Danio rerio: one gene and its partners. The protein of the gene in region 1 binds, or shares a complex with, the protein of each later gene. Links are inferred from orthologs where the notes say so. Each region holds a gene or a part of one and is shown on either strand. Other genes may lie near its edges.

Region 1 (2,823 bases):
TGGCTCCATGCAGCCGGACTGACCTACTGGCCGCAGAAGTGAGTGGTCTGTCTGTCGTCTGCTCTTCAGATGCTGATGTTTAATGTCTGATCAATCACTCTTTCTCTCTCTCCGTCTGTCTGTCGTCAGATACTGGGCTCTGGCGGGCCCCATATACCTGCTGGTGGCCCTGAGCACCTGTTTCGTGCTACTGTTCGGAGTGAATATGATGAACACGGCTCCGCTGGCCTCAGTGGACAACATCACAGGTGAGAATTCAGACTAACACCACATGAGCCATTAGTGTTTGAGCTGCTGAAGATCATGTCAGCGGAGACTCAGAGCATTATAGATGTGCAGTTCTAGATGAACAGAGACAGGAGCCACAGACTGCAGACACACTCACACTGATGCATACACAACACACACACTGACGCATAGCCGTCTGTAGCTCCGCCCTCTTCTAAAAAGAGCTCAACCTCATTTGCATTTAAAGCGACAGTCACCAAAACACCACAATGAGGATCACAGCCTGAAAGAGTCAGTTTCAGAGAGCTGGAGGACATCAACTGTGTACTGTTCTCAGCTCAAACACACACACACACACACACACACACACACACACACACACACACAAGAGAGAGACACAGCAGAGACGCATTTACAGCTTGTAGAAAGGGGCAGAATAAGTCTCCTTTAATGAGTTAACAGTCTCAACCCCTATGATGAATGGCAGATTAGCAGATTCTGACATTACTCCTCCACATCTGGACACTTGATCTTCACTAAAGTCTCTTGAACCGTCACAGACACTTTCCTAATGTGCTGTCAGCGAATCTGAAGTCTCTTCTGTCAGTCTAATTCACCAGAACTGAACTCTCATGACTGGATGAATGATTCTGTTCTCATTAGACAGTGTTAAATCACACACACACACACACACACACACACACACACACACACACACACACACGTAACGCTGGTTTGTGTGCTGCTCCAGATGCGTATGGCAGGAGTCAGCGGGTGGACGAGGACCAGCCGGGAGCGATCCCCAGACTCCGAGACGTGTCGGTCAGTGAAATGAGCCGGCTGTTTTACCTGTGAGCCGCCTCTGTCATCAGCGCTGGAGAGGCGTTTGCAGAGGCGTCTCAGGTGAGCAGATCCATCAGGTGTGTGTGACGGCCTGAACTCCGGCTTCCAGATGACCCCGCCGTGACCTCAGCGACCCCTGTGAAGCCACACCTCAAAACACATCTGCACTTCAGCATTTCTCTCAGATCTCTGAATCTCACTGTGTGTGTGAGTGTGTGTGTGTGTGAGTGTGAGTGTGTGTGTGTGTCAGACGCTGACCTCACAGTGACCTGCAGTGAAACGGTCACGTCTCTATCTGACCATCACGTCCATCAGTCTGCAGTGAGCGTAAACAGACTGCTGACGCTTCACCTGTGACCCCGTGACCCCTCACACACACACACACACACACACACACACACACACACACACACACACACACACACACACACACACACACACGCTGCATCTGCAGTTATCAGTGTGTCTCTGCATCATTCAGACGTCCTGTTCTTCCCTGAATAAATACCCATCATCCCATTGAGTGCCCACAGGTTATGAAATGTACACAAGTGATGTTATATTAATTATATTTCTGTAGTTATTATGTCGTATCATGTATAATAATCATATTATGTCTGCTTTAATGTGTCGGATAATTCTGTAAGTATAGTTATTAATAAACATCATCCAGTCTTAAGAAATTACAGGAATAATTTTAGCACAAATAATAGTTTAGTGCATTGAGATGGCACTGTTAAAGGCGCTGTATAAAAATAAAGTTAATAACTGCCATAAATAACTCAATACTGGCCCATACTCCAGTGCTTATAAACCTGTTTCTGTTGAACACAAAAGAAGATATTTTGAAAAATGTTGTAAACCTGTAACCATTGACTTCTATAGTATGAAAAACAAATGAGTCAGTGCTGTTTATTAGTTCAGCTTTCATCAATATATCCTCTTGTGTGTTCAACAGGTGAAACTCCAGTAAAGGCTGAGGAAATGTGTATTTTGTCTGTATATGACACTTTCTAGCGTCTGGTACACATTAAAGCTGCAGTACTCCTCTGTTATTGTGACGCTTGAATTAAATTATTATATGTTGTTCATATTTGAGATGTTCTCGTTCATCATTAGTGTGAACAGACCTGTGGTGTCTATCCTCATAATCAAACATGACAGGAGAAACTAATGCACATCATCTGTTTATTTGTGTTCACAGTTCAGCAGTAATACATCTATCAATCACACACACACACACACACACACACACACACACACACAGCGGGGGAAAAAAGTCTTGAACACACTGATGTTTTTTCCTGGGAATAATATTCCTGAAGGAGCTGCTGACATGGAGTTGAAGATTTTGGTAAAACCCCAAACATAAAACAACAAACAAACTATGAAACATGAGTTGAGTGAAATAAAACTGAACTGACAGATGGAGAAAGTGCTGAACTGCTGAAGTGTGTTTAATACTGTATATAAAAGGCTTTATGAATGACGGCAGCCTAAAGTCGTGTCTCATATGGAGAATGAAGCCTCCTGCAGTGCTCAGGTGTGAGTTTCTCTCAGTCTTCATCAGAGTGTGTAAATCTTGATGCTTCTGTGGGTCTCGTCTTTCAGATCTGAGCTGAATTCAGTATTCTCTATTGGATTGGGATCAGGTGATTGGCTGGGCCATTCTACAGCTTGATTTTCTTTCTCTGAAAGCATCTGAGAGTCTCCTCGGCTGTGTTTGGATCATCGTCTTGCTGACATAGCTTG
Region 2 (3,762 bases), on another chromosome or scaffold:
ATAGTTTCCCTCCTATAACATGTCCTGTGTCTGACTCTACTGGTTCGTATGTGGAATGAGGATCAATGTGACCTTACTGTATGTGAAGACTGAAGTGAATCAACTGTTTTTTTTTATTCTGGCTGTATCTGCCAACATTTGTCTCCGAAATTCAGATGGAAGTGTTAAACAATGGACCGGGTTTCAAACGGCGGCGGCGGAGATCGGAAACTATACGTATATAGCCTACGTGTGTGTTTGTGCACATCTCCCTGCGATATAGTCTAATGTAATCCAACTGTAGTATTTTGCAGCATCATGATCATGTATGTACCATAAAACCACATGCAAAACTTTTCCTTACAGCGCCACCTACTGGACACTTACACACACTGAGCAGAAAAACACTTCTCAAGCAGAGGGCCGAAATACTAAAATAACAAAACCAAATATATTTATCAGTTTAACTCATTCTCTCAGAATAAGTATTGTATGTGTGTGAATGTGAGTGTGTGGATGTTTCCCAATACTGGGTTGCAGCTGCCTTTATGGTCTTCATTAAAGATGTGGAGAAAGAATTATAGCCAATATAAAGTTGATTTCAGAATCTAATAAGAAAGCTTTAAAAACTGTGAAAATATGCTTTGCTTTTAAGGTCTTCGTGTAAGTAGCCTTAACTCTGATTTGCAAAACAAATTTTTTATGCTAATAAATAATAATGTGAACAATTAATTTAATACTTATAAATATTTAATGTCTTTCCATTTCTCTCTTCTCTTTATTCATTCATTCATTTTCTTGTTGGCTTAGTCCCTTTATTAATCCGGGGTCGCCACAGCGGAATGAACCGCCAACTTATCCAGCATGTTTTTACGCAGCGGATGCCCTACCAGCCGCAACCCATCTCTGGGAAACATCCACACACACACACACACACACAAACACACACACACACACTATGGACACTTAAGCCTACCCAATTCACCTGTACCGCATGTCTTTGGACTGTGGGGGAAACCGGAGCACCCGGAGGAAACCCAGGCGAACGCAGGGGGAACATGCCTTCTCTTTATCTCTTATGTTATTTTTTTCTATTGTTTCATACTGTTCTTTTTGGAGGGTATCTAAACCTGGATCTGTGTTTGTGCGCCCTCGTGTGATGAATAATGAAAAAACCAAGGTGAGTTGTAAACTACAATTCCCAGCACTTCCTTTGCCTGTCGGAAGTACGTACGTTTTACAGCTCATGCGGAAGTGGCACGTTCGTAATGGTAAGATGAAATTAAATGGGTATAAAATTGTTGTTTTGTCCTGTGTATTTATATATTTTGTATATTACAGAACACATTTTAAGACGCCTCGTCGTTCCTAGAGAGTTAACTTACTGTTCAATTTTCTAGTTAATGTGATGCGTCTGGTTCATGAGAGTTTCAGTTTTTAGACATGTTATATAACTTACTTTTTATTTAAAATTATATTTATTCATTACTTGTTCGTTCATAGTTTAAAGACCGCTGCTGAAAGCTAGGCCAATATATACTTTGCTGTGATCCAGAGATCCAGACAGAAAGTCTTTATAAGCTCTATGTATGTACATATGAAGAGTTCAGATGCAAAAACCTCTAACGTTAAGTGCCATCCTAAATTTCCATGGAAAATTTAAAATTTTTACCTACCTCCTTTGTTTATGTTGAGATATTTCACTTTAAAGAACAGGAAAAGGACTTATTCTTTGTCCTAAAGTGATATTACTGAACATACACACTGGAATCTGATAAAAATGCTTATTTTAGAGGAAAAACTCAGATGGCATTTAGAGATATTTGCATCTAAAATCTTCATACATGTTCTTAATTTATGTTAAACTTGAGGTAAAATTATTATTATTATTATTTTTGTTTTGATTGTAAAATACAATTGAAATAACCCCAAATAAGACTTAAGAAATTGTATATTATTTTATTGTATAATTTGTATAAATATTTTATTGAATTACTTATTTTTGCAATTTATATAAAATGTGATGTGTTAATATATGAGCTAAGCCCAAAAACTATTTATCTTAAGGCAACCGGAGCAGATCAAGCTGTTGGCTTTGGACTCGTTGGCTTTAGTCTTTTGCTGTTCACATATTACTCCATTTGGGTGGTAGTCTTGGTAAGTGATCAGTTAAATTCATTTTTACCGGTAGATAAATCATGCACAATGTGTTACTTATTTCCTGTGCTACTAAAACATATGCTGCTAAAAAAAGTGATGGAAACTCTTCTGCTCTTATTCCAGCCTTTCGTAGACAGTGACCATGTGATACACAGCTATTTTCTTCCACGAGAATATTCAGTCATACTTCCTGGCATCGCAGCATTAATCCTCTTGCTCTTTGTTGGTAAGCAGATCAAGTAATAAAACCATAAAAAAATTAACATGACATGTTCATGCTGTAAATTTTGATTAAAATATGGTCATTTTAAGCATTTATGCCTCAGTGAGGAAAGCGAAAAACAAAATCCTTCTTTAATAAAAATAATAATTTATAGTAATAATACATTTTATTTGTATAGCACTTTTCCAGCATAACATACAACTCAAAAGTGCTTCACAAACATGAACAAATAGTAAAAGCAACATCAACGTGGGGAGCTAAAATATAGAAACAGATAAGCAAAATTTAAATTGCAAATGTTGAGAATAAAAATTATTTATCAGAAAATTATTATTACAATCAATAGTTTTGAAATATTTAAACCGGATGATTAAACTTTTACTTTAACATAATAATTGTGTTAATTAAATTTATGTGAACATAATTCTGTCAAAATAGTTTTTCTTGCATTTTCTTGAACGCTGCAAATAGATTTACTAAATGATTTTAAACATTGTTCACTTTTAGCATGTTTGCACAGCTAACCTTAAAATTAAAAGCTTTTCATGTTTTCCTCTGTATTTAATAATCAAATGTTCTACTTCTCTTTAAGGCACATTCATAGGGATCGTAACATGGAAGAATCGAAAACCTAAGAAAGTTGATTAAGACTCTCCAGGTTGTTGTGATTCGTACTGCAGCAAGAATGATCAGCGTTGGTTTTACTCATCCATGTGAAGAGGATGAACTTCTGGAATCCAGTCATTTGTCATGTTCAGGTGCTGTAGTTGTTAAAATGAACATCAAAATAGAGTTAACTAATTCACCAAAGCCGTACTGAACATGTACACAATAATAGTCTACCTGAGCTTTGTACATCTAGTAGCTACAACATTGACTCAAGACCATGCTAGTAGTGCAATGATTTAGGGAATTAGCGTGAATAATACATAAGATGATAAAATAGGCACATAAGACATGTGTGTAGTTTAGAGCACATCTAAATGAAATATGGGAGTAATGTTTCATTGTTCTTGTACTATGCTTTAAGTCTGTGTGTTTCAGCTGTTCTCTTGTTTTGTAAATAGACATATTTATGAGGTAGAGTGCTTCCTTTTAGCCTCAAATATCAGAAGAAGAGTCTGAAAATAATGGGAAAGGGATTTTTTGCTGTTTCAAACAATTCCTCATTAAATGAACAGAAATATACCTATGTCATGTGTTTTATATGATTTATTTGACATAACACTTCTGCTACTGTAGCTCATCTGTTTTTAGGGTTTGAGGTGATTTTAATATCTCAGCTGTAATGATAGTGGTTGTTACTCTTGTGCTGTGTTACTGCTTACCTTTCTATTGAACCAGTCTGGCTATTCTTTGGCCTCTTGCATTAACAAGTCATTTTTACCCACAGAACGGAT
Region 3 (3,762 bases), on another chromosome or scaffold:
TCATCTGCTCTGTGCTAGAATTTCTTGACAGCTCTTGTACACTTGAATCAAACAATTGAGCCGAGGCTTTGAACTCTGGAGGAAGAACCAAAGGTGTTCATTTACATACTGAGATGTCACAAATTCCTATAATCTTGCTTTTGCGAATGAATAACAACAGCTGTTTTGAACCTGGAAGAGAGGAACAACACTGGTCACCGTCTCAGGATCTGCTGGGTCCTTGATGAGAATGCACAGATAGTATATGATGTTGTGCTGAGGAGCAAAAACACAAACACTGATTATTTTTACATCTCGATATCTATCATGCGTGAAGGTCACTGTGTGTTTACCATATAAACAGCCTCATTTATGACGATGTCTTTCAGCTTGCTCATCTCAATGAAAGTCGTGCTTTCTCGTCCAGAGGCGTAAGACGAGGACAATTGGACACCCAGAGAGCCTATTATGAGAAGGGTCTCATGGTCCACCTTCACAAAGTGAATATGAATCACCATCCCAACTAAAGTGAGGATGATGGCACTTGACAGAACCGCCGTGTTCTGAATATTAAACAGAAGGAGAATTATATTAGATCAATAAGAGCAATTAGGTTAGATTTATATTGAACATTTGCTTGACATTCACGAAAATATTTCATATATTCTATTATAATATCAAACTTTCAATCGCAGCCATGTTGGAAATTCCTGAATAAGTTCTTCTTGCTTAGTACTAAGTGGAATTTTGAGATATATACTAGGGCTGTATGATATTGGGAAAAAGCTGATATTGCAGTATTTAGTTTTTTGTCAATACACATTGAGATTCTGTAAATAAATTCACCAGATGAAATGAATAGCTCTATTTGGAAAGAATTTACATAATTTTACATTGATTATGATGATTTTGTGGAGTGTATCTGCATCAAATTTAATAAATCAATCAAAAGTATTGATAAAAACAGTAGAGCAAAGCGATGAATGAAAACAACAACCTTCTAGCAGTATTCGGGTACTCAAATTGAGTAATCAAATGTAAAATAGTTTTCATTATTTCATTATGCATGAATGCTTTACATGCTTACACAATCACAGGCCTTAAAAACACAAACATGATTAATTTGGGTTCCTGTTCGACTATAATCCTGCCAAATGAAATGGTTACTGAGTGTATTGGATTTAGAGGGATACGACTTTATTGAACCAACATATTCTGTATTTTGGTTTTATCTTCTTTAAAATTGCATATTGTGATGGGTAAAGAAAGCATTTTTTATGGTTTGGCTCATGTGATAAAATCACTGAATACAGTTGAAGACCACATGATCAGCCTTACTGTAAAATCCTTTTTCTTAGAATAATTGCCGATGGATATTTTAACAGAGCAAGGAAAATATTTACAGTATTTCCAAATATACTTTTCATTTACACTTTTTAGAAGCTTTTTTTTTTCAGAGAAACTATATATTGTTTTCTTATTTTGATCTCCAAATACAGCCTCATGCACAATCAAATGTTTTAACCTGCACTCAGCAGCTGTAATAAATGCACTATAAATGACAACGTAAACTACTTCTGTTTCCTCACTATATGGACGTACATTTTAAATATGTATTTTTTTTCCCTTAAGAAATATTAAATATTGGCTACAGATCAAACCACTGTTGTCCAATGATTTGACCTAGTTAACCCTAAATAACCCAGTTAAGCCTTTAAATTGCATTTTTAGATTAATATTACTAGTATTTTGCAAAATAAATTGTAAAATATTATTTAATTTCATTATGGCAAAAAACAAAATAATTATGTTATCATTAAATTCTTTTTTTAAATAAAATCTTCTCTAAACGTTAAAGAAAACTTGGGAAAATAACTTAGTAAAAAAAAGTTCAATTTCAAAGGAGGGCTAATAAATTTGTTTTCAACTGTATAATAGACGTTTTCGCGCAATGTCAAATCAAAGTCCAATAAACAGTCATTTTTTGTCTAATAAACAGCAAAAGACGCCAAGGCCTTCATAGTCCGCATGATAAAATGTTCTTACCTGGGTGAAGAAGAACACAGCATAAGCAAATAACCACACACAGCAGGTGTACACCATCACCTTGCGCAAGGACAGTTTGGGTGAGGTAACAGTAAACTCTCTGCAGAAAGAAGAGTGCGTTTGGCAGTCTAAAGAAATCCAGTTGCCATTTATGTCTGTGAACTCTTCGTCGGCCATCTCGATCACTGCTGGTTATTTCGCGGTCGGAAAATTACATTAATAAAGACTTCAGAATAAATAGTTTTGCTTAGATTATTATTTTTCCACCAACAGTAAAACCATCTTCTTCTTATGATAATGTGACGTTGGCAAAATAACATACAGGTGCGTTTTCGCCATCTACTGGACTGGGGTTGAAAACTCCCATTCTGGACCACAAAACCAGTTGCACAAAAATATTTAGCTCTCGCTCCAGTGAAAACAAGTACACTGTAAAGTACATTGTAAAAGCCTAAATGATCTTTTTCATTAAGTTATTTACTGAGCTATGTTTCACAAAAATATATTTTTTTAAATAAATACAAGTAAATAATAAAATTTTTGATTAGTAATATTTGCACCTCCAGGTTGGAGGAAAGTTCTTACCCCAGGTAGAGGAGTTTAAGTTTCTTGGGGTTTTGTTCACGAGTGAGGGAAGGATGGAAAGTGATATTGACAGGTGGATTGATGCAACGTCATCAGTAATGCAGTCGATGTACCGGTCCGTTGTGGTAAAGAAGGAGCTGAGCCGAAAGGTAAAGCTCTCGATTTACCGGTCAATCTACGTTCCTACTCTCACCAGTGGTCATGAGATTTGGGTCATGACGGAAAGGAAAAGATCTCATATACAAGAGGCCAAAATTAGTTTCCTTTGAAGGGTGGCAGGGTGCACTCTTATGGATAGGGTGAGGAGCTCTGACACCCGGGAGGAGCTCAGAGTAGAGCCGCTGCTTGTCCACATCGAGAGAAGTCAGCTGAGAAGTCTGCCTCCTGGACGTCTACCTTGGGAGGTGTTCCAGGCATGTCCCACCAGGAGGAGGCCTCGGGGAAGACCCAGGACGGCTCTCGGCTGGCCTGGGAACAGCAGGATACCCCCGGAGTGCCATGTGAAATACGCTAACTGTTTTGATGTTATTAGATTATGCAGTAAGACTATATTAACTTGAGTAACAATTAAAATGTTAAGTATTTTATTTTATTTATATTTTAGTGTCTTTGTCACCAGCAATGTGAAGGTAATAATCGACCAAATAAATGTAGCCTACAATAAAAAAACTGCCTAGTACATTCCCATAAATTGTATTCTACCACCATTTTGTTTTTGAAATATTTTTCAGATGACCTCTCCCCATTGCATTATCGATTCTTTAGGAAATGTATGAGATCTGACTGCATTTCCCATCAGCCCCTGCGGTCGGTAACCTTTGACTCCCGCTCCAGTGAAAACAAGCCGATCAGCTGATCTGACCTGGCAACAACATTCACCCGAATCTACCGGGGAGGGGAATCATTTTACAAGCTGGTGGGCAAAAACAGTTATCTTCACATCAACCGGCTTATTGTTTTTGTGTTTATGACAGAGTCGTTGTCGTGTGCGATGTTTGAGGGAATTCAGCAGCTCGTTTGTTGAAAACTGCGGTGTGATTCTGGCTCGAAATCAGCTTGTTTTGTTCGGTCAAAGCTCTGTTGATCAGTGTGTGTTGTTGGGTGAACATACTTTAAGGACTGTACGATACTAAACCATTATTAATTCAGATA

The links.
Region 2: pigp (region 1) and dpm2 share a complex: the UniProt entries of both Homo sapiens proteins name them as parts of the glycosylphosphatidylinositol-N-acetylglucosaminyltransferase (GPI-GnT) complex. The link is inferred for Danio rerio from reciprocal best matches to the Homo sapiens genes PIGP and DPM2.
Region 3: pigp (region 1) and pigh share a complex: the UniProt entries of both Homo sapiens proteins name them as parts of the glycosylphosphatidylinositol-N-acetylglucosaminyltransferase (GPI-GnT) complex. The link is inferred for Danio rerio from reciprocal best matches to the Homo sapiens genes PIGP and PIGH.

The regions. Positions count from the first base shown.
Region 1 is NC_133185.1:420,885-423,707, forward strand, and holds the end of pigp (phosphatidylinositol N-acetylglucosaminyltransferase subunit P), read left to right. Parts: coding exon 1-38; intron 39-129; coding exon 130-248; intron 249-979; coding exon 980-1,083; 3' UTR 1,084-2,168; downstream 2,169-2,823. UniProt on the Homo sapiens protein: Part of the glycosylphosphatidylinositol-N-acetylglucosaminyltransferase (GPI-GnT) complex that catalyzes the transfer of N-acetylglucosamine from UDP-N-acetylglucosamine to phosphatidylinositol and participates in the first step of GPI biosynthesis.
Region 2 is NC_133180.1:32,331,459-32,335,220, reverse strand, and holds dpm2 (dolichol phosphate-mannose biosynthesis regulatory protein), read left to right. Parts: upstream 1-1,192; 5' UTR 1,193-1,247; coding exon 1,248-1,250; intron 1,251-2,046; coding exon 2,047-2,136; intron 2,137-2,262; coding exon 2,263-2,365; intron 2,366-2,954; coding exon 2,955-3,010; 3' UTR 3,011-3,554; downstream 3,555-3,762. UniProt on the Homo sapiens protein: Regulates the biosynthesis of dolichol phosphate-mannose. Regulatory subunit of the dolichol-phosphate mannose (DPM) synthase complex; essential for the ER localization and stable expression of DPM1.
Region 3 is NC_133195.1:31,132,004-31,135,765, forward strand, and holds the start of pigh (phosphatidylinositol N-acetylglucosaminyltransferase subunit H), read right to left. Parts: upstream 2,321-3,762; 5' UTR 2,203-2,320; coding exon 2,026-2,202; intron 543-2,025; coding exon 333-542; intron 256-332; coding exon 172-255; intron 76-171; coding exon 1-75. UniProt on the Homo sapiens protein: Part of the glycosylphosphatidylinositol-N-acetylglucosaminyltransferase (GPI-GnT) complex that catalyzes the transfer of N-acetylglucosamine from UDP-N-acetylglucosamine to phosphatidylinositol and participates in the first step of GPI biosynthesis.